Anolis sagrei: one gene and its partners. The protein of the gene in region 4 purifies or fractionates together with the protein of the main gene of each other region. This does not show direct contact. Links are inferred from orthologs where the notes say so. Each region holds a gene or a part of one and is shown on either strand. Other genes may lie near its edges. The genes, in order: ribosomal L1 domain-containing protein 1, DKC1, C1QBP and DDX21.

Region 1 (8,274 bases), on a different chromosome or scaffold from region 4:
GTGTACAAGAACGCTGCCAATGTCCTCCACAAATGCCGTACTGTCCACCACCCAAGTGAAGGCTTTCATACGGGGACAATTTCATCCTAGATTTTCTGTTTTTCCTCTACCACTTACATCCCAGTGTTTCTTACTCTTTCCATTGGAGTGGAATTTGCATGACCCTGCCCACTGCCTCTCCCATAACCCTTTCCTATTCTTTTCTATGGCACACAGTAAACAGAGGAATTGATCAGCAACTGAACATACTAGAGAGGTTTGGGGAGAATTCACCATGATTTATAGGAGATGTAGGTACTGAGATGTATAGTTCACCTGAAACCGAAGAGCATTCTGAACTCCACCAACAATGGACCTGTAACTAATTTAGCACACATAACCCCCATTACAAACAAAAAATACTGGAGGTCTTTGGAGGGATTCAGAGGAGCTGTAGTTGAAGGTACTGAGAGTTATAGTTCCCCTGCAATCAATGAGTACTCTGAACTCCACCAACAATGGACCTGGAACCTACTTGGCACACAGAGCCCCATGACCACCAAAAAACACTGGAGGTCTTTGGGGAAAATTCACCTTGATACATTCTGCTTTTTGGCTTCATCAAGAACAGGTATTTTGTAAATGAAATGACTCTTACTTGCCCATGCAAGACTATCTCTAAATATTTTCCAACTGGGATTGTTGCTAGAGAAAACACAGTCTTCCTTGCACAACCAACTGGAAGGAATACAGCTAAGTTGAGCAGGAACAGGGAAGCCCAAGAGGTGGTGATGGTAATGGCTAATGTCACCACCACTTGCTGATCAGACAGCTAAAGCATTGTGACCTTGCAATGTTCCCCAGTGACTCAAAAAGGATGTAACACCCCATGAACATTTGTGTCTTTCATACCTCAGTGATGCTTGTGATCCCATGTTGGGACAAGAGCTTCTTGTACAGGTTCTCCGTCTGTTCTGCTGTTAAATCCGGCTCATCTTTCGTGAAGAGGCAAACCTCCGCCGTTGCAGGCTGAATATTATGAGGCAGGGGTCTGTAAGAAACAAAGCAGTGGCATTGAGAGAATGCACAGAGTGTTTTGACCTCAAATGCAAGGAGGGTTAAGTACAGTCACACTTTGCAAGTGACGCTGGATCCATTTTATAATGGGTTGACTGCCACAGTTTTCCTGGATTCTCTCCTGCCTCCACAACTAAGACCACTGTTTTTCTGACTAAAAAGAGGAGGAAAGGATGCTGCATCTTCTAGGAATGCCAGGAGTGGCAATTTGCACCATTTCTAGCACAATTTCAGCCAAAATACAAAACAAAAACAAACTATTTCCAAAAACCAGAAGAGACATTTGTATAGTTCTGGACTATTGTTTAGTGCAGCGGTTAAAACCGCTACTTGCAGGAAATCCGTTGACTGGAGGGTTAGCAGTTTGACGCCACGAGCCGGAGTGAGCTCCCTGCCGTCAGCCCTATCTACCTAGCAGTTCTATCTACCTAGCAGTTCGAAAACATGTAATGCGAGTAGATTAATAGGTACCACCTCAGTGGGAAGGATAAAGGGCTACCCATGCAGACAAAGAAAGTCTATGGCCAACTGGATACTCGGCATGGAACAAGAGCACCTCCCCATGGCCAGAGTTCAGCATTGCCTCCAGACGCTGGAGATGGAAAGGGGAAGGCTTTACCTCTGTCTCTCTAAGTATTTTATGTCGTTGTTCACTGTGTTAAAAGGTACTGAATGTTTACCTTATACATATAAACTGTAATCTGCTCTTGGTCCCTCCGGGGAGATAAATAAAGTATATTATTATTGTCCTCGAAGGCATTTGGCACCAGCAGCAAACAGTGCTGCGGGGGCCATAGGGGGCTCCCACACTGATTTTTAGACTTACATTTTGATGACTTGCTCACGCAGTGGGATCTTCCAGACGGTAATCATTAAAAATAAACTCCGGTCCTCATTTAAAAGCAATTTCTCGGCCGTATTCTTCTTGTTCTTGCTATGTGCAAGCAATGCGAGAGCAGCCTTTTTAATCTGTAAAAGCAGATATGATTTTTGCTTGTCTAAATCTCTGTGAAATAGGAACATTTTAAATGTCACAGCAATAGTGAGAGTCCCATTTGGTTGGGAAAGAACTTGGAAACCTTACTTTTTTTGGACTACAATTCCCAGAATTTTCGAGCTGGCACACCCAGTGCCCATTATGACTTGGGGACCCAGTAATTTATAACCAGAAATACTTTCCCAAGCTCTGAGAGTCATTTGCCCAATAATTTTCAATAGAATCCGAAAAATAGAAGAGACCCCAAAGGCCATCCAACTCAAGCTGATTCTGCCAGGCAGGACACAAACAAATGCCACCCAACAGATGGCCACCAAGCCATGCTTCAGGGGCTATGACCATAGAATGCCAGAGTTAGAAGAGATCCCAAGGGCAATCTAGTCCGACCTCATCCTGTCTGCAGTAAAGGCACAATCAAAGCATTTCCGACAGATGGCCACCTAGCCTCAGAATCATAGAATCCTAGAGTTGGAGGAGACCCCAAGGGCCATCCAGTCTGACCCCATTCTGCTTGCAGGAAAGGCATAATCAAAACCCTCTCGATAGATGGCCATCCTGCCTCTGAATCATAGAATCCTAGAGTTGGAAGAGACCTGAAGGGTCATCCAGTCCAATCCCATTCTGCTTGCAGGAAAGGCACGATCAAAACCCTCCCGACAGATGGCCATCCAGCCTCAGAATCATAGAATCCCTAGAGTTGGAAGAGACCCGAAGGGTCATTCAGTCCAACCCTATTATGCCTATAGAAAAGGCACAAAGTCTTCCCAAAGCCACCCAGCCTCTGAATCATAGAATCTTATTGGAGCCGGACGAGACCTCAAGGGGCATCAAGTCCGACCCCATTCTGCCTGCGGGAAAGGCACAATCAAAGCCCTCCCGACAGATGGCCACCCAGCCTCGGAATCATAGAATCCTAGAGTTGGAGGAGACCTCCAAGGACCATCCAGTCCGACCCCATTCTGCTTAATGGAAAGGCACAACCGATGGCCACCCAGCCTCAGAATCCGAGAGTGGGAAAAGGCACAAAGGGCCCATCCAGTCCAAAGCCATTCTATCTGCAGGAAAGGCACAATCTAAGCCCTCCCAACAGATGGCTACTCAGCCTCACCTGCTGGGGATCCGGCTGATGCGCCATGCCTGCCTGCCCGTGCCTCGTGCGCTGATGAGAGCGGAAGTCGCCCTCTAATGATGTCACCGCGAGCGACCGCCTCTCTAGGGCTCCTCCCGGAAGAGGAGGCGGAAGCAGAGAGGTCTCCTTGGATGCTGGAGCGGAGGGGCCAAACGTCCAAAGGAAGTATCACACAGTGAAACAGGAGTAACACTTTCAAACTAGTACCAAACTTTCAAAGCACACTTTCTCACCTCAAAAGTTTTGGTCCCTCTTTAGTCTTATGCTTAGGCCCGCATCCGGACTGCCATATAATGCAGTTTAAAGACATTGAAGTCTACACTAATGTGGTTTAATGCTGCTAAAATGCATTAAATGGCATTGCCGATTGGGATTAGTCGAAAGAATGGTTTTCTCCTGCTTGGTTTTAAGATCTGGCTGTTATCCATCCTCCTTCAGGATAAAATTCAAAGCCTCAAAATTCAACAGGCCTTCAAAAACAAAAGCCATTAGTAAGGGTTTTAAAATTTGAAATGCTAACACTATTTATTTTGGGTTAAACCACTGAACTGCTAAACTTGTTGACCGAAAGGTCGCAGGTTCGAATCCAGGGAGTGGTGTGAGTTTCCCCTGTGAGCCCCAGCTTCTGCCAACCTAACAGTTCGAAAACATGCAAATATGAGTAGATCAGTAGGTACCGCTCTGGCGGGAAGGTAACGGCACTCCTTGCAGTTATGGCCACCTGACCTTGGAGGTTTCTATGGACAACACCAGCTCTTCGGCTTAGAAATGGAGATGAGCACCAACTCCCAGAGTCAGACATGGCTGGACTTAATTTCAGGGGAGAACCTTTACCTTTACATTTAATACCTTTATTTACATATACTCCTTTTATATCCCCTTCCGGTTCTGATTGCTTTAATCAAATCCTCGACTGCCATTAAAACCACCCAAAGAGGACAGTCCAATCTAGTACCTTGCTGTATGTTACATTTGTTTAGGCTGCATTTACATTGTTGAATTAATGCAGTTCAGCACAACTGCTCTACCTAAGTGCTATGAAATCATTATTTTTATATTATTATTATTATATATTAATATAATACTAAATCTCTGAAGCTTTAGATACTCTTACTACCTATTACAGGGAAAACCAGCTGATTGCTAATCAATCTAAAATGCAGACATGTGCTTTTCATTTTAAGAACAGACGAGCATCTTGAGCTCTGGGGACTAATTGGGAAGGAATCCCACCTGAGCATTGCAGCACATCAAAATACCTGGATGTTACTCTGAACCATGCTTTGATTTACAAGAAGCACTACTTGACTATCAAGCAAAAAGTGGCTGCTAGAAATAATATCATATGAAACCTGATTGGCACAACGTGGGATCACAACCAGACACAGTGAAGACATCTGCCCTTGCACTTTGCTACTCTGCTGCTGAGTACACATGCCCAATGTGAAATACATGTCACCACGTTAAAACAGTGGATGTGGCTCCTGAAGACATGCCACATTATCACAGGATGTTTACATCCCACACTACTAGAGAAATTATACTGTTAGCTGGTATTGCACCACCTGACATCTGTCAGGAAGTAGCAGCCTGTAATGAAAGGACCAAGGCACGGACATCTCCGGCCCATCCTCTGTTCGGATATCAGCCAGTACGCCAGCACCGTGTATCAATAGCTTCCTAAGATCTACTGAGGAACACCTCAACAAGCAAGAGCAAACCTCATTCCACTTACTACAATGCAGCCTGAGTGCTGCCACACACACAGTGGAGGACCTTCTTATAGCCACACCAGCGTGGCTGTAAGTGGCCAGTTCTGGTCAAAGACATCTGTTTGTGTTTTTAAATACATTACAACCGGTCCCTCAATTGGCTTATGACACAATATATCAAATAAATTGTTGTTGTTATTATTAACTATTTCTATCCCACTTTTTCCCCATAGGGAATCATGGGAGTTTTAGTTTGGTGAGGCACCAGCAGTCTTTGGCAGGGAAGGCTATAAAGACCTTATAAAACTACAACTCTGGTGAAATGTAACATTTGTTCTGCAAAGAACCTAAAATCATCAGTAGGTGGTAGTAAAGAGGATCAGGATCAACAGTGAGACCCCGTCTGCATTACCATATTCAGGCCCAAGCCCCCAAATTACAAACGAGAGGTTCTGTAGGTTTGTTCTTAAATTGAATTTGTATGTAAGTTGGAACAGGAACTTTTTTTAGTGTTAACTCCATATATATATATATATATATATATATATATATATATGCATGCATGCATGCATGATTTGGATAGCATAGGGAAGGGTGAACACTCTTGTGGTGTTTGTGTTGCCGTCTGTGCCCAGATTTCACATTTCCTGTCCTTGTGAGAATTGGATTTTGAAAAAAACTTGGCTTGTTGTGGAAAAACAAGGATTGGAGAAAAGCTTCCTTCCAAGGGGGAAGATTTGTCTTGCTTCTTGTTGTCTGATCCCCGTTCCTAACTAGGAGTCGTTTGCAAGTTGGATATTTGTAATTCAGGGACGGCCTGTAATCCAGTTTCTGAATCCAGATGATCTGCTTTGAGTTGGGACTATATGGCAATATAAAGTCATATAATCAAGTGCAAATCAGATCATCTGGGTTCAGAAACTGGATTATATGGCAATGTAGATCCAGCCTGAGAGGGTTGGGAGACACTCCTCATCTCAAAACAAAGGAAGAAAATTAGCAGAATCCTCAAGTGAATCAACACATCAAGACTGAAGTTGAATCTGTGAATGTAGAGATGAAAAAGGTGGCATCGACTGGGCTGCAGGTTCAGTGGTCAGATATCCGACAGGACCAGCATCTTGAAGTTGAAAGGAAGCTGCGAGAGGTTTGGTTTCCAATCAACCCTGAGAAAACAACTCCCTTTTATACATTTCCCAATGACAAAAGGCAAGTTTGGACATGTCTTTTAACAGAGCTGGGTTCTCTTCACAGATAGGATATTTTAATTAGAGCCATAGACTTGAAGAGGGCCATCCAGTCCCGCCTTCTGCCATGAATACAGATATCAAAGCCCTCCTGACAGATGGCCATCCAGCCTGTTTAAAAACTTCCAGAGAAGGAGACTCCACCTTGAACAGCTTTGACCCTTGGGAAGTTCTTCCTAATGTTTTGGCAGAATCTCTTTTCCTGCCCTTTGAATCCCTGGCTCCACAGAAATTTCTACAAGTCTGTTTGTTCCTTCCTCCTCAATGGGACCTCCTTTCAAATACTTACATATGGCTCTCTCCTCCTCCTTTTCTCCAGGCTAAATATACCCAGTTCCCTCTGCCATTCCCTTACATTAGTGTATTATAAAAGAAAATCTGAATTGTGATCTTTTCTGAAAAATCACTTTGTAATTCCCAGAAAAATAAAAGGCAGAAATATGCAGACATAATAAAATTTATTTAATGTTTTCATGCATTGTTGTAGCTACAAGTATAGTCATATGAAACTGAAGGACAATCAATTTTGCTTTGTCCATACAATGTAGCCTTATGTAAAATGGATGGGAGTTCCATGATTACAAATAAACAACCAGGGGGAAAACATTTCAGATTTATAGTAGAATAAATGGAACAGTTCCATGACTGTAGACTTTGGGGAATGGGCACATTATTACACTTTGAACATACAAAGGTAAAAAGGTATAATCGAAGAAGCATCTTGGACCTTGGAAACCAGCCTTCTATAGGAACCTAATACTGGAGATTGCCATTAAACACATGAGCATCATTGCACATCACTCAATTTCTGCTTTCTCCCCAGTTTTACAATGGCACAGATCCCATGCTCAGCCTACACACAGATATATGAATTTAGTACCCCGTTCTTTTTAATTGCCAGCCACAAGTTCTATAATTCACTTTTGCTTTGGGCTGCTGTGAGTTTTCCGGGCTGTATGGCCATGTTCCAGAAGCATTCTCTCCTAATGTTTTGCCCACATCTATGGCAGGTATCATCAGAGGTTGTGAGGTCTGCTGGAAACTAGGCAAGTGAGGTTTGTATTTCTGTGGAATAATGCCCAGGGTGGGAGAAAGAACTCTTGTGTGCTTGAAGCTAGTGTGAATGTTACAATTGGCCAGCTTGAATAGAACTGAATAGCCTTACAGTCTCAAAGCCTGGCTGCTTTCTGTCTGGGGGAATCCTTTGTTTGGAGGTGTTAGCTGGCCCTGATTTGAGAATACAGACATGCTGGACCACTCTAACAACCACCATGTCAGAATACACAGAGAGCCATTGAAATCCACAAGCATGTGGACAATTTCAACAGAGAGGAAACCATGAAGATAAACATAACCTGGCTACTAGAATTTAAAAACTTCAAAATCAGGACAGTAAATAAAGAACATCACTCAGAAGACAGGGGAATTCCAAAGAAGAAACAATCAGGGACAGCTAACACCTCCCAACAAAGGATTCCCCAGGCAGGAAGGAGCCAGGCTTTGAAGCTGCAAGGCTATTAAATGCTAATCAAGCTGGCCAATTGCAACATTCACACTAGCCTCAAGCACACAAGAGTTCTTTCTTCCACCCTGGACATCATTCCACAGAAATATAAACCTCACTTGCCAAGTTTCCAACAGACCTGACAACCTCTAAGGATGCTTGCCATAGATATGGACAAAAAGTCAGGCGAGAATGCTTCTGGAACATGACCAGACAGCCAGGAAAACTCACAGCAATCCAATGATTCCAGCCACGAAAGCCTGGAACACACTTTGGCTTTCCTTTAGTTCAGACTCTGATGTGCAGAAACGTATAGCCTGTGGTTGATATTCATCTCAATTGCAATGAGCAAACCTTTACTATTAAACTGCATCAATCCAGTGAGATTACATCAAGTTTCTGCCAGTTAAATACCAACTACTCATGGAAGGCCTATCAGGCTCAATTCAGATCTCTTAAAGAAAAATGAACACAGATTCTCCAGTCTTTCAAATTAGACAGAATGAAGAAAGTAACTTTGATCATCAACTGATAATTGAAACCCAGTTGGAATTGAATATTGTATTCCAGTATTATTGCACAAGTTGCCACATAACAGTCCCAGTAAGTTTGTTGGCCAGTATAGACGG
Region 2 (7,882 bases), on a different chromosome or scaffold from region 4:
CACCACACGTGCTGAGATCTGGGGCAGGATATCCTTCCATGTCCTTTGGAAAAGTATATGCCTTCAAGGAAAAAAACTCCTTTGGCTGCATCTCCACTGCCATATAAAATCCAGATTATCTGCTTTGATAATTCTCTGGATTATATGCCAGTGTAGATCCAGCCTTTGACTAAGATTTAGGCACAAAGGACTAACCATTCAGTTTTTGTGATTTTTTTTCTACTACTGCAACACTATTGAGCTAAATTTGTCTTTCCAAAAAGTCCATGTTCCAGCACAAATGCTCGCATTTCGCCGCTTTATTAGTAACATGGCTTTTTCTAGCTAGAAGCATTGGAATATGTATATTTTATATTACAAGCTCGGGGGGAAAAACTGAGCTAAAGCTCCTGCTCTTACCACTTGCAACTGTCATTCAGCTTCTACAAGATCAGCAACATTGGTAGGAGCAGAAAATAAAAGCATGGAAAGCACAATGGGAGCCACCTTCTACCAGAGGGAATGGAATACATAGACTATCCACAAGGCAATGGCAGCAGCTGCTACAGACTAAAAACTTTGGGGGCTACTTTTTTCTCTGCTCTCTCTATATATATGCAACAATGCAGTTATTTAAATTGCAATATCATACTTGCATTGTTACAAGAACACTTTTTAATGCTGCAATACAATAATAATACATTTTTTGTTCCTGGGTTATAAATGTCATTTCCTGATTAGTTCTATCATAAAAACATGAAAAAGGTGTGTTATTATTATTATTATTTTGACGGAGATCCTGCAGATTATTTTGCTATAGGTTTTCAACTAATATCTTACATAGTCTCAACCAATTCCAGACAGTTTCTGGAGTAGAACAACTCTTTTCAAAGACCGCACAATTAAACTAGAAAGAACACTTTCAAATCAGGGGCAGATTTTTTTTTTCAAATTTTGTTACATAGTGTACTGTTAGCAGTTGCCGCCATCAATCTTCCATGTGCTTCAGGGCTTTGGCATGAAAGTGGAAAAGGGCGCAATACAATCCCGCTCAAAGCATTAGACGCAAACATGTGGAGGATAGTAGTTTGGCCATCCACAGATTCTGAACGCAGGGACAGATGTTTTGAAAAAATATGTTTTGAAAAGTCAAACTTTGGTTTTAGTGTTTTATAGATGAGACATGCCATTTACATAATGAAGCTTGAACATTTGAACCTATAGAATATTTATCCATCTATCTCTTTCAGACATGGGCCAACTTGGGCCTTCCAGGTATTTTGGTCTCCAACTCCCACTGTTAGGAATTGTGGGAGTTGAAGTCCAAAACACCAGGAGGGCCAAAGTTAGCCCTTGCCTGATATATAGCGTCTGTCTGTCTGTCTGTCTGTCTGTCTATCTATCTATCTATCTATCTATCTATCTTACTATCTATCTATCTATCTATCCATATCTGTCTATGATATATATCTCTATATCCCTACAGTCCTTCCCAAAACAGACTCTTAGGCTCTTACATCCAATCTATATAAATAAAAATGTCATGTTCGTTTGTGGGATTAACATAACTTAAAAAATCACTAGATGAATTGACACCAAATTTGCACACAAGACACCTCTCAGGCCAATTCTATTATTAGGAAAGAATACTAATAATAATACAAACATAAAAGAATAGTAATAACTAGATGTCCCCTGCCATGCGTTGCTGTGGCCCAGCCTGTGTAGATGTGTTTTGAGTGTGTATATATTTGTGTGTATGTGTATATATGTGTGTTTGCATATATATGTGTGGTTTTAAGCATTTGTTGTAATGTGTTTTTTGGCTTTTTAAGTCTCTTGTGTGTGTGTTTTTAGTGTTTTATGAGTGATGGTCACTCGTTGGCCTGAGAGGTGTATTGTGTCCAAATTTGATGCCAATTCATCGAGTGGTTTTTGAGTTATGTTAATCCCACAATCAAACATTACATTTTTATTTATATAGATGTACATGCAAAATGTGAATATGTGTGTTTGCATATATGTGCGTGTGTGGTTTTGCGCCTGCATTGTAGTTTTTGGCTTTAAAGCCTCTTCTGCTGTTTTTCAGTCTTTTTTTAGTGATGGCCACTCGTTGGCCTGAGAGGTGTCTTGTGTCCAAATTTGGTGTCAATTCATCCAGTGGTTTTTGAGTTATGTTAATCCCACAAACGAACATTACATTTTTTATTTATACTAGCCATCCCCTGCCACGCGTTGCTGTGGCAAACATGGGAGTTCTGTGTGGGAAATTTGGCCCAATTCTATCGTTGGTGGGATTTCAGAATGCTCTGTGTTTGTAGGTGAACTATAAATCCCAGTAACTATAACTCCCGAATGTCAAGATTCTATTTCCCCCAAACTCCACCAGTGTTCACATTTGGGCATATTGAGTATTCGTGTAGATTATTTGTGCCAAGTTTGGTCCAGATCCATCATTGTTTGTGTGCACAGTGCTCTCTGGATGTAGGTGAACTACAACTCCAAAACCAAAGGACACTGCTCACCAAACTCTATTTATTATTTATTTAAAAGTTTTGTATACCGGCCTTCTCACCTCTCTTGAGGGACTCAGACCTGTTTCCAACCATAATATCACATACAATCAATAAAACATCATAATACATATTACAGTAAAACATTAAAACAGCAATTACAATCAATAACTATAATGGTCAGTCGTGGCACTAAAAATACCCTTCCAGTATTTTCTGTTGGCCGTAGGAGTTCTGTGTGCCAAGATTGGTTCAATTCCATCACTGTTGGGGTTCAGAATGCTCTGTGATTGTAGGTGAACTATAAATCCCAGCAACTACAACTCCCAAATGACAAAATCAATTTCTTTGAATGAAGGACCTACATTGAGTTGTTCGGTGTCTTGTGTCCAACTTTGGTGTCAATTCGTCCAGTGGGTTTTGAGTTATATTAATCCCACAAATGAACATTACATTTTTATTTATATAGCTATTATTACTACTATTCTTTCTTCTCATCAAAAAGACCCAAAGTACCCAAGGCCTGGTTGCAACGCCTTCTTTGTATCTCCTCGCCCCATTGACTGAGGAGGAGAAAGCCTAAGCTGCTCCTCCCTTTGTGGCCCTGATAGGGAAGATGGCAAGGCTACCTCTGAGCATACATGGAGTGCTTCCCCTCCCTTTGTGGCCCTCACAGGGCTGCTTCTGAGCATGCTTCCTCTCAGACCCAGGGGGGAAGCGCCCTCCTCCAATTCAACAAAAGCCTCCTCCTGCCCTGACTCTTAAACTTTAAACAGCAAGGAACCCACCTGCGCCACCGTCCGCCATCTTGCCTCCGCCACGCGCTGCCTCTGGAGCACGCTACACCCGCGCGCTCACTCCGGCCGGAAAGGGACGCCACGCCCACTTCCGCTCCCGAGAGGCAACGCGGCACCAGGGCGGGCTGGAAACAAACTGGCCAGAGGGATCCACAACGCCCCTAGTGGCCACGCCGGAAATTGCACCCTCATTATTTATTTATCAGCAACCAGACATTTGTATTACAAGGTTCTTGTGGGTTTTTTCGGGCTATAGGGCCATGTTCTAGAGGCATTTCTCCTGACGTTTCGCCTGCATCTATGGCAAGCATCCTCAGAGGTAGTGAGGTCTGTTGGAAATAGGACAATGGGTTTATAGATCTGTGGAATGGCTGGGGTGGGGCAAGGAGCTCTTCCCTGCTGCAGTTAGGTGTGAATGTTTAGCTGATCACCTTCATTAGCATTTGAAGGCCTGCCTGAACCTGGGAAAATCTGTTGCTGGGAGGTGTTAATCTGTGCCTGGTTGTTTCCTCTCTGTTGTTTTGCTGTTATAATTTTAGAGTTTTTTAATACTGGTAGCCAGACTTTGTTCATTTTCATGGTCTCTTCCTTTCTGTTGAAATTGTCCACATGCTTGTGGATTTCAATGGCTTCTCTGTGTAGTCTGACATGGTGGTTGTTGGTGTGGTCCAGCATTTCTGTGTTCTCAAATAATATGCTGTGTCCAGGCTGGTTCATCAGGTGCTCTGCTATGGCTGACTTCTCTGGCTGAAGTAGTCTGCAGTGCCTTTCATGTTCCTTGATGCGTGTCTGGGCAATGCTGCGTTTGGTGGTCCCTATGTAGACTTGTCCACAGCTGCATGGTACACGGTAGACTCCTGCAGAAGTGAGAGGATCCCTCTTGTCCTTTGCTGAACGTAGCATTTGTTGGATTTTCTTGGTGGGTTTGTAGATAGTTTGTATGTTGTGTTTCCTCATCAGCTTCCCTATGCGGTCAGTGGTTCCCTTGATGTATGGCAGGAACACCTTTCCTCTTCGACAATACATTTGTATTACATTTTTAACAAAAACAAACAGACAGACAAAACATAGAATTTGCAAGCTTGGTAGTTGATTAAATGTCCAAAGGACATTTAACATAGTACCAAACTCAGAAGTGTTGTATTTTATCTGTTTTTTTGCTTTGTTCTGTTAGAAATGTAATATAATTGACTGGTTAATCTGACATGACAAATAAATATGGGGTGATTTGAATGCAATATTCCTGCTTCTTGGCAGAATGGGCTTGGACTGGATGGCCCATGAGGTCTCTTCCAACTCTAGGATTCTATGATTCAGCCTGTGCTAGGCCCTCCTCTTAGTCCAAGAGCTCCCTCTCATCACTATAGCAACACACTCTTAGCCACGCCCCCTTCTTAACATCCGAGTCCTCCAGTGCGAGAGCGTGTCGTCACATCCCGTCCGGACCGGAAGCGCGCCTCCAGTGTTGTTTTGGCATCCCTGAGGGAAGGAAGGGAGGAAGGGAGAATGCTGTCTGTTCCAGGCTCCGGCCCGCCTCCGGGCTTCGGTTCGGGGGAAGGCGGCAGCGGCGGGGCGGGCGGAGACTTCTTGTCCCGCTACCGGGCGGTGTCGGCCAAGCTTCGCCGCCGCTTCCTCCGCAAGCCCAACGTGTCTGAGGCGGCGGAGCAGTTCTGGGCCTTGGCTCGGGAGCTGCGCGCCCAGGAGAGCCTCCCCCACGCGGCCTGGTGCCAGCTGGCGGTGGCGCGCTGCTCGCAGAGCCTGGGCCACGCGCCGGGGGAGGCGGCGGCGCTGACGGAGGCGGCCCGGCTGTGGCTGCGGCACGAGCGGGAGCTGCGCCTCCGCCAAGGCGGGCCTGCCTCCGCCGCGCTGGGCCTGGCCGAGCACCACCTCCCGGCCGCCCAGAGCTGCCTCGCCTTCGCCGCCCGACTCCGCCTCGACCTCGGGCAGCCCGCCCTGGCCGCCGGGCTGTGGCTCGAGCTGGGCGAGGAGCTGCGCGGCGCCGGGGAGGCCGCCCAAGCCGTGGCCGCCTTCCTCCGCGCGGGGGAGCTCCTGGTCTTGGCCCAGCTGCCCCTGGAGGCGCTGCGGGCACACAGCCAGGCTGCCTCCTGCCTCCTCCTCTGCGGGGACCACGATGGCGCCCTCGCCCTGCTCACTAAGGCCCAAGGACAGGCCCAAGGCGCCTCTGCTGCTTCTCCTGCTTCCATTCAGCAACTCCCAGGCACCTTCTTGGACGAGCTGCTCCGCTGCGAAGTCACCCGCGTCCTCCTCCTGCTCTTGCTCCAGCCGCCGCCTTCCAAACTGCTCCCCGAACATGCCCAGACCCTGGAGAAGTACTCCTGGGAGGCTCTGGATGCCTCACCCAGCTACATCCCTGCCGAGCTCTACCTGCTGCTCCAGTCTACCGTCATGGCCTGCCAGGAGAAGGACCTGGAGGCCCTCAAGGCCCTGCAGAAGGAGCTCTGGCCGCTCCTCAGCCCTGAGCAGAACCACCTCCTCCATTTGGTCCTCCAGGAGATGATCCGGCCTTCAGGGCAGGGCTTCTAGGCCTGGATCTAGAACGATGGCTTCAGACTGCAGGGTGGGAATGCCTGAGCCCAAGAGCACACAGAACAGAGGCTGCAGCAGGTGGCATCCCCACATCCTAGGAAACACTAAGGCCCAAGGCGCCTCTGCTTCTCCTGCTTCCGTTCATCAACTCTCAAGGCCCTGCAGAAGGAGCTCTGGCCACTCCTCAGCCCTGAGCAGAACCACCTCCTCCATTTGGTCCTCCAGAAGATGATTCAGCCTTCAGGGCAGGGCTTCTAGGCCTGGATCTAGAACGATGGCTGCAGACTGCAGGGTGGGAATGCCTGAACCCAAGAGCACACAGAACAGTGGCTGCAGCAGGTGGCATTCCCACATCCTAGGAAACAGGTCCTCAAAGGGCCCACAGCCAGGCCGCCTCCTGCCTCCTCCTTTGCAGGGACCACGATGGCGCCCTGGCCCTGCTCACTAAGGCCCAAGGCGCCTCTGCTTCTCCTGCTTCGATTCATCAACTCCCAGGTGCCTTCTTGGATGAACTGCTCCGCTTCGAAGTCACCCGCGTCCTCCCCCTGCTCTTGCTCCAGCCGCCACCTTCCAAGCTGCTCCCCGAACATGCCCAGACCCTGGAGAAGTACTCCTGGGAGGCCCTGGACGCCTCGCCCAGCTACATTCCTGCCAAACTCTACCTGCTGCTCCGTTACACTGGCCCTCAAGGCCCTGCAGAAGGAGCTCTGGCCACTCCTCAGCCCTGAGCAGAACCACCTCCTCCATTTGGTCCTGCAGGAGATGATCCGGCCTTCAGGGCAGGGCTTCTAGACCTGGATCTAGAGCGATGGCTTCAGACTTCAGGGTTGGCATGTCTGAGCCCAAGAGCAGACTGAATACTGATCGTAGCAGGTGGCATCTCCACATCCTAGGAAACGGGTCCTCAAAGGGAGATGAGGAAAAGAATGAGCACTCACAGGGGATAATGGAAGTGTGAGCCCTCACACATCTGGACAGGGCTGGGCTGTGTGTTTCCACTGGAATAATAATAATAATAAAGTTTTATTTTAACCTGCCCTCTCTCCCTGAAGGGATTCAGGATGGCTTCCATAAACAAAAATGGCAAACATTCAATGTCGTGTACAGTATTGAAATGAAAACATTGAAACATACAATTAAAGCAGTTTAAACATCTTTGGCTAAAAGCATCTAAGTCAGTCAGCCAGGCCCCATAGATTGATTTATTTATTTACAGTATTTATATTCCGCCCTTCTCACCCTGAAGGGGACTCAGGGTGGATCACAGAACATGTATATGGCAAACGTTCAATGCCGATTATACAGTGACAAGACAGACAACAGACAGAGGTATTACATAGACTTTTCCCCATTTCTTCAGCATCTTTGGAGGCTGTGCTTGGTTCCTGCCACAAGGGGTGCTGTTTTTCCATCTTGCTGAAGAGCTTTTTGTGTTTGTAAACTTTTCTCTGAACACTGTGCCTAAAATACCTCCCCGGTTAATGTGGTTCCTATTTATCTACTCACATTGCTGTTTTCAATTTGTTAGATAGGCGGAGAGCTTGGCTGAAGGTCAGGAACTCACCCTGATCCAGCTTCAAACTGTCAGCCTTTCAGTTGGCAAGATTTACTGCAGCTGGTGATAAACTTGCTGTGCTAAAGCCAGTTTAATAGATAATACAATTAAACCATTAAAATCTGTATAAAGGTATAAAAATAGCTCTTTGATAAATTAATATTGTCAGCTTTGTCCACCAAGATGGAGTCAGTGGTAAACTATTAATCCTCTATTTAAGGTGGAAGCTCCTGCAGGGTGGGAATGTCTGGGTCCAAGCATAGGCAGAATGGTAGCTCCAGGAGGCAACATCCCCGCATCTTAAGGAACGGAGCCTGAAACGGAGGTGGGGGAAAGAGCACTCACTGAGGATAATGGGAGCATGAGTCCAACACATCTGGAGAGCACTGAGCTGTGTGTTTCCGCTGGAAGGCATCCATCAATCAAACTTTATTTATATCCCCTGCCCCATCTCTCCATGGGGACTCAGGGTGGCTTACAACATAAAAGGC
Region 3 (8,079 bases), on a different chromosome or scaffold from region 4:
CAAAGTTCGGGGTCGACGTGAGATCCGGCTGCAGGAAAAAAACAGACCTCTGTTTAGCCATCTTGATCACTGCCTTCCCTTTGGGAGAACTGGTGGAGTCTTCGTGAACAGAGTACGCATGGCCCTCTGTCGGGAGGGTTTGGGTTGCATCTTCCCACCTGGCTGAAAGGGGTTGGACTAGATGCCCTTTGGGGGCCTCTCCCAACTCTAGGATTCCACTGCCATTCTGTAAGCTGCTGGCAATACTGGAAAGGTTTGGGGGGAATTCACCTTGATTCACAGTCCTTGTAGGTACTGGGATTTATAGTTCACCCGCAATCAAAGGGAACTCTGGACCCCACAATGATGGACCTGGGCCTAACTTGGCGCACAAAACCCCCATGACCAACAAAAGAATGTAGGAGGGACTTGGGGGGATTCATCTTGATTTTTAGGATTTATAGTTCACCTACATCCAGAGAGCAATGTCAACACAGTAATGGATCTGCACCAAATTCAGCACGCATACCCCATATGCCAAAATTTGAATACTGGTGAGTTGGGGGGGGGGGGGGAGGGATTGGCCTTGACATCGGTTAGTTGTACGTACTGGGATTTATAGTTCAATTGTGATCAAAGTGCACTCCGCACCCCACCATTGATGGAACTGCGTCTAACTTGGCACACATAACCTCCATGACCAAGGAAGGATTTGACAGGACTGACCACAGTGGGAGTTGTAGTTCACCCTGCAGCCAGAGAGCACACTGAACCCCACTGAGGATGCATCTAAAGCAAATTTGCCTAACATGACAAACTAAATATTGATGGGTTTTCAGGGAGTTCCCCTGGCATGATGGGAGTTGTAGTTCATCTAGAATCTTAGGCATTTGGGACAATTAAAAAGTGGCTTCTTCTAATAGCCCGGGCAATGCCAGGGACCCAAGCTAGTCTATAATAAAAGGACCCCCACTTACTTCTTGCTCGTCCGGCTTCTGTCCTTCTGGAGCCTCGTCAAAACTCGGCGGGATGCTGTTGTTGATGTTGAAGGACACCGTGACCCTGTGGACGGAACCAGGAGGAGGAGCCCAAGGTGAGCAAACTCCAGAGAGATATAACAAGAGGGGTGGGAGACCCCCACCTGACCCCACCCAGGAGGAGGAGGAGGCGCCCCTTACGTCTCGCCGGCCACTTTCCGCGCCAGCTTGGCCTCGGTGCCTTGGACGTCCAGCTCCCAGCCGCCGGACATTTTGGGCAATGACTTGTGCTTCTGGATCTTCTTCTCCTCCTTGATTTCGTCCACCAGGAACTCCGCAAAAGCTTTGTCGCCTGCCAAGAACACACAGGTGAGAGCTATCCACCTAATCCAGTGTTTCTCAACCCTCCTGATGCCACGACCCCTTAATACAGTTCCTCATGTTATGTTGACCCCCAACCATAACATTGTTTTTGTTGCTACTTCAGAACTGTCATTTTGCTTCTGTTATGAATCGTTGTGTAAGTATCAGATAGGTAGGATGTGGCACAAATACCCAATACACCCAAATTTGAATACTGGTGGGGTTGGGGGGGGGGGTTGATTTTGTCATTTGGGAGTTGTAGTTGCTGGGATTTATAGTTCAGCTACAATCAGAGCATTCTGAATTCCACCAACAATGGAACTGAACCAAATTTGGCACACAGAACTCCCATGACCAACAGAAAATACTAGAAAGGTTTGGTGGGCATTGGCCTTGAATGTTAGAGTTGTAGTTCACCTGCATCCAGACAGAACTACGGACTCAACCAATGATGAATCTGAACCATACTTGGCACGGATACTCAATATGCTCAGATGTGAACACTGGTGGAATTGGGGGAAAATAGACCTCGACATTTGGGAGTTGTAGTTGCTGGGATTTGTAGTTCACCTACAATCAGAGAGCATTCTGAACCTCACCAACGATAGAATTGGGCCAGACTTCCCAAACAGAATCCCCAAGACCAACAGAAAATACTGTATTTTCTGATGGTCTTTGGTGACCTCTCTGACACCCCCTCATGACCCCCACAGGGGTCCCAACCCCCAGGTTGAGAAACACTGACCTAATCTATGGACCTATCTATGTATTTATTATTTATTTGCGACATGGATATGCCGCCCGCCCTTCTCCCCTTACTCAGGGGACTCAAAGCGGCTTACAAAATATATACATACAATATAATATATTATTAGTATAGTACAATATCAGTATTATATATTACTATCAATATATCTAATCTATCTGTAGCTATTATCTATGCAACTATGCATCTAATCTATGCATCTGCCTATCTGATCTATCTGTATTTATCCCTCTATGCAACTATGTATGCATGTCTGTATCTGATCTATGCATCTGTTTATCTAATCTAGCTGTCTCTTTGTAGCTATGCAACTATGTAAGTATATCTGTATCTATCCTATGTATGTGTTTATCTGTCTAAGCCAGGGATCCTCAAACTAAGACTTGAGGGCCGGATGCGGCCCTCCAAGGTCATTTCCCCAGCCCTCGCTCAGGGTCAACCTAAGTCTGAAATGACTTGAAAGCATGACAACAACAACCAGCCCACACCAAAGCTCCCATAATTACATTATTATACGATTATTATATATATATATATATATATATATATATATAATTCTAACATTATTATAATATATAATATAATATTATAAAATTATATATAATATATTATTATTATTATTATTCTCTTCCTAGGCACAGAGATCCTATTCCCAGAGAGAACGCATTCAAAACCCTATTTTCAGAGAATATTTTTATTTTGTTATTATTATTATTATTATTACTTGTGGTGTCAGGAGCGACTTAAGAAACTGCAAGTCGCTTCTGGCGTGAGAGAATGGGCCGTCTGCAAGGAGGTTGTCCAGGGGACGATGCCAGGCGCGTGGCCAGGAGGTGAATGGAGGAGGAGGAGGAGGCTCACCTTCAGTGTGGAGGCCCGCGCATGCGCAGGGGGCGGAGGGCAGGCTCCTGAGGCCTCCCCCTCCCCCGCGAGGCCTGCGCTCCTGGAGCTGCCACAGCGAGCGGGTGAAGGGCCGGGCGGCGGGGAGCAGCCGCGGAGCCAGGCTGGAGGCGCCCGTCCGCGCCTGGAAAGGCCGAAGCGCCGCGGAAGCCGAAGAGCGGAGGACCCGAGCGAGCAGCATGGCCGTCTGAGGGGAAAGGAACGCGCACCGGAAGTGGAAGCAGCAGCAGCAGAAAGCCGGAAAGGGCGGGGAAAAGCACATCCCCGCTAGTGCGCACGCGCATCAAAGGTTCCCGCCCCTTTCTCATTCCCGGCGTGTTGCCTTCCCGCCCTCACTGCGCACGCGCCGAAGAGATAGAAGAGAACTCCCCGCTAGTGCGCATGCGCAAAAAATGTGCCCGCCCCTTTCTCTTTGCGGCGCGTTGCCTTGCCGCCCTCACTGCGCACGCGCTGGAGAGATAAAAGGGAGCTCCCTCGCTACTGCGCATGCGCATCAAAGGAGCCCGCCCCTTTCCCTTTGAAGCGTGTTGCCTTCCCGCCCTCACTGCGCACGCGCCGGAAAGAGACAAGCGAGCTCCCCCGCTAGTGCGCATGCGCATCAAAGGTGCCTTCACACTCTCACTACGCACGCGCCGGAGAAAGAGAAAAAAGAGAGCTCCCTCGCTAGTGCGCACGCGCATCAAAGGTTCCCGTCCCTTTCCCTTTCCGGCGCGTTGCCTTCCCGCCCTCACTGCGCATGCGTTTGAGAGAAAAAAGGGGCGGATACCTTCTCCCTTCCCCGCCCCCTCACTCTCAGCGCTCGTCGATTGGCCGGCTGCGAAATCCTTTCCACGCCTCATCCGTTTCCGGAGAGTGGCGCCTGCGCAGTGTGAGATTCTCACGCAGAGGCGGCGAAGGCGGCCGCCATTACGAGTCCTTCGCCTGAGAGGAAAAGAGAGAAGAAGGAAGGAAGGAGGGGAGGAGAGAAGGGAAGATACCAGGCCGGAAGGTCAGTAGTCATCCCGAATTTTATTCCCCGCTATAATTGGGCTTATTTGCATATGCATAATGAGATACTTTAGAAAAGAAGGAGCGAGAATGGGTTTCTGGTTTACGCCAAGGAGGCGCCCGAAGCAGGACTAGGCCCACGCTTGGCGCATTTGCATACTGTTTGCTGATTGGCTACTCTTCCTCCTGCCCGCGTCTGATTGGCCAAGGCCTTGCTCCTTGGCCTAGGCTGGAAATTGAAGTCTTCTGCACACACTTCACTAATTACTCCTGTGCTTATTATTAATTAATTAATTACAATAAATTAACACAGGAGTAATTAGTAAAGACACACAGAGTGTGTGCAGAAGACTTCAATTTCCAGTCTAGGCCAAGGACTCATGTCTTATTAATAATATTAATTAATATTAATAATAATTAATGATAAGAATTTTATTTAACTGCCCCTCCCCATTATTTATTTATATTTGTATCCCACTTTATCTCCATATTGATACTCAAAGCAGCTCACAATAAAAATATTACAACTTCAGATATTCAATAATAAAACGGTAATATATATATAGTTGTGTGTGTATTATATATTAACAATAATATTATGTTTAATATATTATCATTATGGTGCATTATTGTGTATTGTTATATTGTATAATTATATAAATAAAAATGTAATGTTCGTTTGTGGGATTAACATAACTCAAAAACCACTGGACAAATTGACACCAAATTTGGACACAAGACACCTAACAGCCCAATGTATGTCCTTCACTAAAAAAAAAGATTTTGTCATTTGGGAGTTGTTGTTGCTGGGATTTATAGTTCACCTCCAATCAAAGAGCATTCTGAACCCCACCAACGATGGAATTGAACCAAACTTGGCACATAGTTCTCTCATGACCAACAGAAAATACTGGAAGGGTTTGGTGGGCATTGGCCTTTGGTTTTAGAGTTGTAGTTCACCTACATCCAGAGATCACTGTGGACTCAAACAAGGATGGATCTGGACCAAACTTGCCATGAATACTCAGTATGCCCAAATGTGAACATTGGTGGAGTTTGGGGAAAATAGAAACTTGACATTTGGGAGTTGTAGTTGCTGGGATTTGTAGAGAGCATTCTGAACCCCACCAACGAATTGGGCCATAGAACCCCCATGACCACCAGAGTGGGCCACAGCAACTCGTGGCAGGGAACGGCTAGTTATATAAATAAAAATGTAATGATTTATTGTGGGATTGGCATAACTCAAAAACCACTGGACAAATTGACACCAAATTTGGACACAAGACCCCTCTCAGGCCAACGAGTGACCATCACTGGAAAACACTGACAAACACTGGAAAACACAACAGAAGAGACTTAAAAAGCCGAAAAACAAAAAAAAAATACATTACAAAGCATGTGCAAAACCACATATACACACAAATACACATATACACACAAATATATACGCACACACATACACACAAACACAAAACATATATACACAGGCTAGACCACAGCAATGTGTGGCAAGGGAGGGCTAGTATATTATAGATAGGCAGGTGCATATTATATAATACATGTTATATGACATTATAGTGGTATAGTACAATATAATAATATACCATAGTAATGTATTATACTAATAGTATATATTAATAACATGTTTGTTTCCCTTCCCTTAGGCCTGACCTGCGGCCATGGCAACTGGCGTGTTCCCTCCCTTCCGGGGGCCCTGCCCTCCGATGCCGGCCCCTATGGCTCCGCTGCCAGACTACATGTCCGAGGAGAAGCTCCAGGAGAAAGGTACGATATGTTCACGCTCTTATATCGCCTTGTTAGTTGACATAGCCAGGCTGATCTGTCAAATTATTCCGTCATAGGTCTATGTTATTTAATCAGATTTAAGAGTTTTTACTGCTTATTATAATACCATTGACATTTAATTATATTTTAATATTGGCATATTTTTAGGTGGATTTCAATTGTATGCATTGGTTTTACAATAAGCTGCTTTGAGTATTTTTTTAGAGAAATATAGCAAGATCTAAGTAATAATAATAGTTTATTTATATACCATTAATATTGAATTCTATTTTAATGTTTGTGTATTTTAGGCCTTAAATTGTATTGGCCTAAATGTAAGATACTCCCTGACCAAACTTTGCATAAAATGACCTCAGAAGCACTTTATTTTATGGTTCGTGCAATTAAATCCTTCCCTGTCCCCGGATCCTCCTTCTAATAATTTATATTGTCCTATCTCCCAGCGTTTAACAAATTTATCATTGAGTTCGGCCTTGCCCAGCCTAATCCTCTGTGTTTTAATGTTTGATTTGCTTTTGTTCTTCATTTATTATATTGCTTTTGCATTTGATGTATTTTATTTCTGGTTTTGTTATGCTTTTGTGTTATATTATGATACTGTATTTTTGGACAAGGCCTCATGTAAGCCGCACTGAGTCCCCCTGGGAGAGATGGAGCGGGGTATAAAGTATTATTATTATTATTATTATTATTATTGGCTTCACTCTATTTATTTGTTTTATTTATTTATTTACTGTGCTTATATACCGCAATTCTCAGCCCAAGGGCAACTCTAAGCCCCTCTGAGTCTCTTATTCATAGAGAAAAAAAGCAGAGTATAATAAAAATAATGAGTAAATCCCTAATATACGACAGGCCTTAATTATAGGATCCTGGCAGTATCATTCCCTTTGGGCGGGGGGTGCTTTGGCTCTTTTGGGGAAAGCTCTGCCTCTATTGTGAGTGTGTTCTGGCTTTCGCAGCCCGCAAATGGCAGCAGCTGCAGGCCAAGCGCTACGCTGAGAAGCGGAAGTTTGGCTTTGTGGATGCGCAGAAGGAGGACATGCCTCCGGAGCATGTGAGGAAAATCATCCGTGACCATGGAGATATGACCAACAGGAAGTTCCGACATGACAAGCGGGTCTATTTGGGGTGAGGAAGGAGCTTAGCATGTGGGGGAACCTGGCTGGCTTTGGGGAGAGCCAGAAGGCTCGGTCTGGGGTTCTTTGGGCTGAACTCCTTGCCATTTAGCAACCAAAGCTTCCCTCTTTGTAACTTCTGTGATCTCCACCAGGGCGTTGAAATACATGCCTCACGCGGTGCTGAAGCTCTTGGAGAACATGCCAATGCCCTGGGAGCAGATCCGTGACGTCCCCGTCCTGTACCACATCACTGGCGCCATTTCCTTCGTGAATGAGATCCCGTGGGTCATTGAGCCCGTCTACATCGCCCAGTGGGGGTAAGCGGGGGGCCCTTCCAACCCTTACTTCTCCATCAATGTTGTGGGAAACACCTTTTGTAGAGCATAACTTGTTAGAAAAGCATGACCTTTCAGAGAAGAGCCAAACGCCCTTGAGAGTAGAATCTTCTCTTGTGGGATACAACCAGATATAATTATGTAAAACTAGCTGTACCCGCCACATGTTGCTGTGGCCAACCTTCCCCCCTCTTTCTCTCCTTCTCTCCTTCCCTCCCTCTTTCCTTCCTTCCCTCTTTTTCTTTCCCTCCCTCTTTCTTCCTTCTCTACCTGTTTCTTTTCTCACTTCCTTTACTCTTTGGTTCCATCCTTCCTTGTCTCCTTCCTTCCCTCCCTCTTTCTTTCGTTCCTTCTCTCCTTCCTTCCCTCTTTCACTTTTTATTTCATTCTCTCCTTCCTTCTCTCCTTCCTTCCTTCTCTACCCTTCTTTCTTTCCTTCTTTCTCTCCTTCCTTTCTTCTTTCCCTCCCTTTTTCCTTCTCTATACATTCTTTCCTTCCTTTTCTCCTTCCCTCTTTCTCTCCCTCCTTCTCTCCTTCCTTCCTTCTCTAACCTTCTTTCTTTCCTTCTTTCTCTCCTTTCCCTCCTTCTCTCCTTCCTTCCTTCTCTACCCTTCTTGCCTTCCTTTTCTCCTTCCCTCTTCCAACCCTCAGATTCTATGATTCTATGACATGATGGGCTGGATGGCCACCTGTCGGGAGGGATCGGATTGTGCTTTTCCTGCCTGGCAGAAAGGGAGTTGGGCCGGATGGCCTTTTGTGGGGGGATCCCTTCCAACCAGACGCCTGGATCTCTCTCCAGGTCCATGTGGATCATGATGCGGCGGGAGAAGCGTGACCGGCG
Region 4 (8,345 bases):
CATCTTGGATGGCCTGAAGAAAAGGAGAAGCTTCCTCCTGAATATGGAAGGCTTGGAGAAGACTATACAGAATGGAACGACTCTTACTTGCAGTTCCTTGCTTCAGTTGACTCCAGTTATGAATGTTTAATTTTTTTTTACTACCACATTTTTTCCTTTGTAAATATGTCAATATATATACTGTAAATGTCATAAGCTATCAAATATGTTAAAGTAGATTAAAGTCATAATAGTCCCCTTTTACCATGTATGGAAGCTTTTTAATAAACCTTTTCCTGCGCCTTTTTATAACCATCTTTTCTTTGTGGTAATACTTATATGGGAAAACAATGGAATTAAATTGTAATATATTTGCCTTTAGTGGCCACACAGAAATCCAAGATGTTTCGTTTGCTTTAGGCTCTAGTGCAGTGGTTCTCAACCTGGGGTCCCCAGATGTTTTTAGCCTACAACTCCCAGAAATCCCAGCCAGTTTACCAGCTGTTAGGATTTCTGGGAGTTGAAGGCCAAAAACATCTGGGGACCCAGGTTGAGAACCACTGCTCTAGTGTATTCGTCTAACGCAGTGATCTTATGGGGGTTCTGCAGACACACCCCAAATCTGGAGTCATTTTTCCCAGCTGCTCATTGATCTTATTACCTCCTATCCATACACTAAAAAAATTAAAATCACTTCCTTCTGTCAGTTAGGTATTCGGTTTTGTGCCCTGTGGGGCCCCTGTCCCTTATCCCATCCATTTTTCCCATGGGACATAGGGGTCTGCCTAAATCAGTGCTGCCTTATTTAAAATTGACTGATATGAGGATATAAAGGAGAACATCTTAATCCTGTGTACTTTGTTCACTTTGCTCATACTGAAAATGTCAAGCACCCTGCTATTAGCCATCAAGTTGGTTTTGATTTACAGTATGTAAATGAATGAGAGACTTCTGAGACAAAGTGACTTCCTTTACAGTGTAATGTAATGGGATCTTCCTACTGCTTTTCAAACCTTATTGCAGGCATCCTCAAACTGTGGCCCTCCAGCAGTTTGGCCCCCCAACTCCCAGAATTCCTGACCATTAAACAAACTGGCTAAACCTTCTGGGAGTTGGAGGCCTAAACAGCTTTTTTAATGGATGCTGTAAAGGAAGAGGAATGAATAAACGACAAATCTTATATAAATAAAAATGTAATGTTCGTTTGTGGTATTCACAGAACTCAACACCCACTGGACGAATTGACATCAAATTTGGACACAAGACACCTAACAACCCAATATATGTCCTTCACTCAAAAAAAATTGCTTTTGTCAATTTTGTCCCTTGCTCCCCCTTTTATTTTCCTTCTCCTCTCTCTCCTTTCTATCTTCTCTCCCTCTTTCGTTCCTTCCTTCCTTTGCTTTCTTTCCCTCCCTCTTTCTTTCTCTCCTTTCTTCTCTCCCTCTTCCCTTCCTTCCCTTCTTGACCACTTGCCTGGTGCTGGCAGGAAGGGAGCCTCGCAGCCAGGCGCGGTGCAGGCAGGAGGGAGGTGCTTTCGAGGCAGGCCAGCACCGCCCCTTCTTTTTTCTGCCATGGCCTTCCTGCCTGTTTGCCGGTTGGGCACGCAGGCAGGGTCACATGAAAGGCGCCTTGCAGCTGCAGCAGGAAGAAGGAGCTTGTCGGGATTGGCAGCTTGCAACAGATTTTCCTTCGCGTGGGGGGGAGGGGACATTCGCGCATGCGCTGTTATGAATTTTTGGCTTCTTTGGGGGATTAAGGTTAATTTTTTTTGTTTTATTGAGTGAAGGACATAGATTGCTTTGTGTGCTGTCTTGTGTCCAAATTTGGTGTCAATTTGCCCAGCGGTTTTTGAGTTCTGTGAATACCACAAATGAACATTACATTTTTATTTATATAGACTAGCCGTCCCCTGCCACGCATTGCTGTGGCCCACATGGGGGTTCTGTGTGGGAGGTCTGGCCCAATTCTATCATTGGTGGGATTCAGAAAAATCTGTGATTGTAGGTGAACTATAAATCCCAGCAACTACAACTCCGAAATGTCAAGATTCTATTTTCCCCATACTCCACCAGTGTTCACATTTGTGCTTATTGAGTATTCGTATAGTTTGGTCCAGATCCATCATTGTTTGTGTCCACAGTGATCTCTGGATGTAGGTGAACTACAACTCCAAAACCAAAGGACACTGGCCACCAAATCCTTCCAGTATTTTCTGTTGGTCATGGGAGAACTGTGTGCCAAGTTTGGTTCAATACCATTGTTGGTGGAGTTCAGAGTGCTCTTTGATTGTAGGTGTATTATAAATCTCAGCAACTACAACTCCCAAATGACAAAATCATTTTTTTGAGTGAAGGACATACATTGGGATGTTAGGTGTACGCTGTCCAAATTTGGTGTCAATTCGTCAATATTGAAATCTGAAAGATATACTGAAAGTCTTTGCTTGCAACATTTTTTTCCTTGCATTTGTTCCTGTTGAACTTCATATTATTATTATTATTATTATTATTATTATCTTTATTTGTACCCCGCTAGCATCTCCCGAAGGACTCGATGCGGCTTACAAAGGCCAAGGCCTCAAAACACAACATAACAATACGCAACCTAAATCAAATCAAAAACAGTTAAAGCAATATTAAAACAACAAGCAATAAACCAATACACAATAAAACTGGGCCGGGCCAGAGTATTTATTTATCGTGTCATCAGCAACCATTGTATTACAATTCTAACAGAGCAAAACAAACACAGAGATTAAAAAGAAAAAGAAAAAAAGAAAGAAAAAAAACCCACACAGATTTTGCAAATTTGGTATTTGGGCCAGAGTAATGGGTACAGATTAAAAGTGCTGATGTGGCAGGTGATATGTAGGATTATAGGGCAAGTTCAGTGTGCCAACAATCTTAATTTCTACTAAAGTGCTCTTGGGACTTGTTGGAGGATTCCTATTCTGGAAAGGCACATCGGAACAGCCAGGTCTTCAAATTCTTCCTAAAGACTGCCAACGTAGGAGCCTGTCTAAGATCTTTGGGGAGGGTGTTCCAGAGTTGGGGGGCCACCACAGAAAAGGCCCTGTCTCGCGTCCCCACCAGACGTGTCTGAGACCCAGGCGGAATTGCAAGCAGGGCCTCTCCGGATGAACGAAGTGAGCGCGTGGGTTCATAGACGGAGATGCGGTCACGCAGGTAGGCTGGTCCCAAACCATTTAGGGCTTTGTAGGTCAGCACCTGCACCTTAAATTGGGCTCGGAAAATAAACGGCAGCCAAAGGAGCTCCTTGAACAGGAGGGTTGACCTCTCTCTGTAAGGAGCACCAGTTAATTTATTATTTATTTACTTGTATACCGCAGTTTCTCAGCCCAACAGGCGACTCAACGCGGTTTACAACAAGGATAAAAATCAATCAACGATATACAATTTAAAACCATAAAAGCATAATATACAATATTGACACAACAATAGACAACACAATGCATCTCATAACTGTTAACATCCTGGCCGCTGCCCATTGCACCAATTGAAATTTCCGAGCCATTTTCAAGGGCAGCCCCACGTAGAGTGCATTACAGTAGTCCAGTCTAGAGCTGACCAAGGCATGGACCACCCCGGCCAGATCAGCCTTTGAGAGGTACGGTTGCAGTTGGCGCACAAGTCTCAATTGTGCAAAAGCCCTCCCGGACACCGCCGATTTTGTCAGTTTTGGCCAATCATCTCTCCAATCTGTGAAGCTCGTTTTGAATCCTGCTCCTCTTTAGCTTATTTATTTCTCGTGTCAGGGCAGCCAGTCAGTTATATTACATTTCTAACAGAACAAAGCAAACAAACAGAGAAAATACAAAATGTGTGTTTGATAGTTGATTAAATGTCCCTTGACCAGTATCTGGCCACTTGGAGTGCTTTTGGTGTTGCTGCAAAAAGATCCTCCATTGTGCATGTGGCAGGGCTCAGGTTGCATTGCAGCAGGTGGTCTGTGGTTTGCTCCTCTCCACACTCGCATGTTGTGGATTCCACATTTCTGAAGGTTGGCTCTGCATCTCGTGGTGCCAGAGCGCAGTCTGTTCAGCGCCTTCCAAGTCGCCCAGTCCTCTGTGTGCCCAGGGGGGAGTTTCTCATTTGGTATCAGCCATTGGTTGAGGTTCTGGGTTTGAGCCTGCCACTTTTGGACTCTTGCTTGCTGAGGTGTTCCAGCGAGTGTCTCTGTCTGGATTTAAGTCGTTGACGTGCTAGCTGATACCCAAACAGGGGATGAGCTGGAGATGTCACTGCCTTGGTCCTTTCACTATTGGCTGCCACTTCCTGGCGGATGTCAGGTGGTGCGATACTGCCTAAGCAGTGTAATTTCTCCAGTGGTGTAGGGCGCAGACACCCTGTGATAATGCGGCATGTCTCATTAAGAGCCACATCCACTGTTTTAGTGTGGTGAGATGTGGGTTGTTGTAGGTTTTTCCGGCTATATGGGCATGTTCTGGAGGCAATTTTTCTCCTCAGAGAAAAGGCAAGCATCCTCAGAGGTAGTGAGGTGTGTTGGAAGTAGGAAAAATGGGTTTATATATCTGTGGAATAACCAGGGTGAGACAAAGGACTTTTGTCTGCTGGGGCTAATGTGAATGTTTCAGCTGATCACCTTGATTAGATCACCTTGGTGAGATGTGTTCCACACTGGGCATGCATACTCAGCAGCAGAGTAGCACAGCGCAAGGGCGGATGTCTTCACTGTGTCTGGTTGTGATCCCCAGGTTGTGCCAGTCAGCTTTCGTATGATATTGTTTCTAGCACCCACTTTTTGCTTGATGTTGAGGCAATTCCTCTTTAGCTGGGAATAGTAGAGACCCCGCCCCACACTACATTTCCCAGAGTTCTGCGCGAGGCAGAAGAGGCGCGTGGGCGTCCTCTTTCAAACGCCGGTCTGACGAGAGACACTCTTTCCCTGGCGCCCCCTCAAGGCGGGCCCCTGAACTGCGGGAAGGCAGGCCTCACCCGGCGCTCCTCTTCCCGGCCGCGGCCTAGTCAGGGCTGAGGCGCCGGTGGGGCATGGGCTGGTGGTGCCGCTGCCTGGCGCAGTCCCGGAAGGCCCTCCGCCTGGCCCCGGCCTGCTGGAGGGCGCCATTTTGCGCCGCCCCCCTCAGCCGCGCGCCGCCTCCCCCCTCCTCCCCCTCCCCCTCCCTCCTCTTGGGCGGGGCGGAGCTGCTCCTTCCTTTCACGCCGGCCTCGGCCCCGACCAGCCGCTTCTGCCACCAGCTCCGCGGCGGAGATTGCCAGGCCATGCCCGCAGCCCCCCGCCCCGACGACAACGACGACAACGAGATGGAGCTCGAGGCCGCCCTGGAGCCCGAGGACGCCCTGGAGAGCGGAGGGAAGAAGCGCAAGGTACGCGGCGAGGGGGAAGGACGGAAAGAGGGAAGGACAAGGCCCAGGCGCTTACGTAAGGCCGACCGGGCCTCGTGGCTGACGGGAAGGAGAAGCCGGCCTCCGAGCCGGAAGCGCGGCCTGTTCGTGGCGCAGAGAAGTCAACCAAGAGGAGGCCTCTCTTTCCCACGGGCCTTCCCGCCCCCTCCAAAGTCCCTTAGAGTTAGGCCTCGCCACCCGCGTTTGTGTTCTACGGCCTTTCTGTTCCGCCTTCGCTGTTGCGCACGTGGCGGGCTTTCCCCTCCCCGTCCCACGACGCAGACATTTCCTTTAAAACAACAACAAAACTGTTCCCGTTTTGAAAGTGTTGTTTCTTGTTTAATTGTCCCCAGAGTATATTTCCTCACCCGTATGAAGGTCTATATTTATAACCCCGTTCCTTTACGAGTTTCCCCCCAACATCCCTGTCTCATCCTGATTTTAGTATTTTTAGTATCTTAGTTTTTATTTTGCTCATTGTTATGTTATTTTATTTTACCGTGTTATGATTTTGCTTTATCGTCTTTGTACTCATATGTTGTATTATTATTATTATTAAACTTTATTTGTACCCCGTTAGCATCTCCCGAAGGACTCAATGCAGCTTACAAAGGCCAAGGCCTCAGCACAACAACAACAGACAATAACAATACGATACAAAGCAAATTAAAAACATAAGCAATAACAAAACATTACACTATTACACAATAAAAACCAGGGCCAGGCCAGTGATGGGTACAGGTTAAAAAGGGCTGGGTGTGGCAGGTGGTATGTTGGAATTCTGGGCAAGTGCAATGTGCAGAGAGTCTTAAACTCTAATACAGTGCTTCTGGGACATAGTGCTGAGGGTTATCCTATTCCGGAAAGGCACATCAGAATAGCCAGGTCTTCAAGTTCTTCCTAAAGACTGCCAATGTGGGTGCTAGTCTAATGTCTTTGGGGAGGGTGTTCCAAAGTCGGGAGGCAACCACAGAGAAGGCCCTGTCCCTCGTCCCCACCAAATGCACCTGCGATGCAGGTGGAATCGTGAGCAGGCCCTCTCCGGATGAATGAAGGGAGAATGTGGGTTCATATACGGAGATGCGGTCACGCAGGTAGGCAGGTCCCAAACCGTTTAGGGCTTTGTAGGTAAGCACCTGCCCCTTGAATTGGGCTCGGTAGGTAAACGGCAGCCAATGGAGCTCCTTAAACAGGAGGGTTGACCTCTCTCTGTAAGGAGCGCCAGTTAACATCCTGACCGCCGCCCGTTGGACCAGTTGGAATTTCCGAGCCGTTTTCAAAGGCAGCCCCACGTAGAGCACATTACAGTAATCCAATCAAGAGGTGACCAAGGCATGGACCACCCCGGCCAAATCAACCTTTGCGAAGTACGGTCGCAGCTGGCGCACAAGTCTTAGCTGTGCAAAAGCCCTCCCGGCCACCGCCGACGCCTGAGCCTCAAGCGTAAATGATGAATCCAGGAGAACTCCCAAGCTGCGGACCTGTGACTTCAGGGGGAGTGTAACCCAGTCCAGCACAGGTTGCATTTTATTGTGTTGTTATTGGTTTTACATTATTGTAATATGCTGTTGGGCTTGGCCTCATGTAAACCGCCCCGAGTCCCCATTGGGGAGATGGTGGAGGGGTATTAAATAACGTTTATTATTATTATTATACTTCTTATTATTATTCTTCTTATTCTTATTATTATGCGGTCCTGACTTTAAAAGTAGTTAATAATAATAATAATAATAATAATAACACTTTATTTGTACCCCCTACCATCTGCCCAAGGGACTCGGTGCGGCTTACATGAGGTCGAGCCCAAATACAACAATACAAGCAATAAAACAACAATACAAGCAATAAAAAAACAATACAAGCAATAAAAAACATAATAAAATATACAACATTATCAATAAGACAACACACAGTTAAAAACAGTGGGAAGGCCCAAATGTAAGGTTAAAATTAGAAGTAATGCTGGGACATGGACAAAAAGGTGATACACATATATATACACACACAACACATATACACAGAATGGGCCACAGCAACGCATGGCAGGGGACGGCTAGTGAGAACATAAAAATAATGACAGATGCAATAATAATAAAGCACCTACTTCAGTTTAAAACTTTCCCTGTCTAAAGTATACTGCACTTATAGCTCTAATACAATTTTTCTTTACATACTGTTATTTACCTCTATCTGCTTTCCCTTTATTTCTCCTAGTGTAATCATTGTTTGATTTTTGTATGTTATGAATGGTTCCATTCAAAATACGTATGGCTCTCTGGGTGTAAGATACACATGGGTCTTCGGTTGTGGGTGGATTGCTCCCATCCTTCTCCCTCACATAACCCAACCCAGTCAGTATTTAAAGTTGGGTCTGTCTACCAAGATGGATCCAGATCCATTCTTGGTGGGTTCACAGGGCTCCCTGGAAGTGGGCAGACTACAATTCCCATCATCCTGGGTCATCCCACAGACATGTTACCAGTATTTTAAGATGGCCATGATGGGTATGTTTGGCCCAGATCCATCGTTGCTGTCCATGACGGGGCTCTCTGGATGTGAGAGCCATCCTGGAAAATATATATTTTGAGATAGATAGGGTTTTTTTTAAACATTTTCTTAGCTTGTAATAGTACATTGGATGTTTACAGCTCATGTACTTCGTACAAGCAATCCCTGTGGCTCAGTGGGGACTCAAATCAGAATCTCTCCGTCCATTCTTTAACCACCTGTTGTTGTTGTTGTTGTTGACAATGAGTTATGAATTAGAACTCTTCCAAGTCAGGTCTCATATCAGTTCTCACAGACTCAAGGCCATTACTTCCTTGATTGGGCTTGTACAGGGATAGCTCCTAATATCTTGTGGCTTGATGGGAACATACATTATGGATTTTATTTACAGATTTTATTTCTCTTATTGAGATTTCACCTCTTGGAACATCACTAATTACCATAAAGCAATGAAAAGAAAATAACTCTGGC

Evidence for each region.
Region 1: the proteins of DDX21 (region 4) and ribosomal L1 domain-containing protein 1 purify together in Homo sapiens (affinity purification with mass spectrometry; 3 studies listed by BioGRID and IntAct, with this or other methods). This does not show direct contact. The link is inferred for Anolis sagrei from reciprocal best matches to the Homo sapiens genes DDX21 and RSL1D1.
Region 2: the proteins of DDX21 (region 4) and DKC1 purify together in Homo sapiens (co-immunoprecipitation; 3 studies listed by BioGRID and IntAct, with this or other methods). This does not show direct contact. The link is inferred for Anolis sagrei from reciprocal best matches to the Homo sapiens genes DDX21 and DKC1.
Region 3: the proteins of DDX21 (region 4) and C1QBP purify together in Homo sapiens (co-immunoprecipitation; 3 studies listed by BioGRID and IntAct, with this or other methods). This does not show direct contact. The link is inferred for Anolis sagrei from reciprocal best matches to the Homo sapiens genes DDX21 and C1QBP.

What each region holds. Positions count from the first base shown.
Region 1 is NC_090034.1:24,515,849-24,524,122, reverse strand, and holds the start of ribosomal L1 domain-containing protein 1, read right to left. Parts: upstream 3,257-8,274; 5' UTR 3,189-3,256; coding exon 3,162-3,188; intron 2,026-3,161; coding exon 1,883-2,025; intron 1,031-1,882; coding exon 892-1,030; intron 1-891. UniProt on the Homo sapiens protein: Regulates cellular senescence through inhibition of PTEN translation. Acts as a pro-apoptotic regulator in response to DNA damage.
Region 2 is NC_090030.1:15,196,354-15,204,235, reverse strand, and holds the start of DKC1 (H/ACA ribonucleoprotein complex subunit DKC1), read right to left. Parts: upstream 3,388-7,882; 5' UTR 3,300-3,387; coding exon 3,281-3,299; intron 1-3,280. Other genes in the region: 40-kDa huntingtin-associated protein-like, read left to right, coding at 4,796-5,833.
Region 3 is NC_090031.1:35,466,744-35,474,822, forward strand, and holds the start of C1QBP (complement component 1 Q subcomponent-binding protein, mitochondrial), read right to left. Parts: upstream 3,263-8,079; 5' UTR 3,248-3,262; coding exon 2,947-3,247; intron 1,309-2,946; coding exon 1,158-1,308; intron 1,042-1,157; coding exon 957-1,041; intron 29-956; coding exon 1-28. Other genes in the region: PRPF8 (pre-mRNA-processing-splicing factor 8), read left to right, coding at 5,655-5,760, 6,744-6,912, 7,055-7,219, 8,038-8,079.
Region 4 is NC_090023.1:170,858,951-170,867,295, forward strand, and holds the start of DDX21 (nucleolar RNA helicase 2), read left to right. Parts: upstream 1-4,997; 5' UTR 4,998-5,012; coding exon 5,013-5,348; intron 5,349-8,345.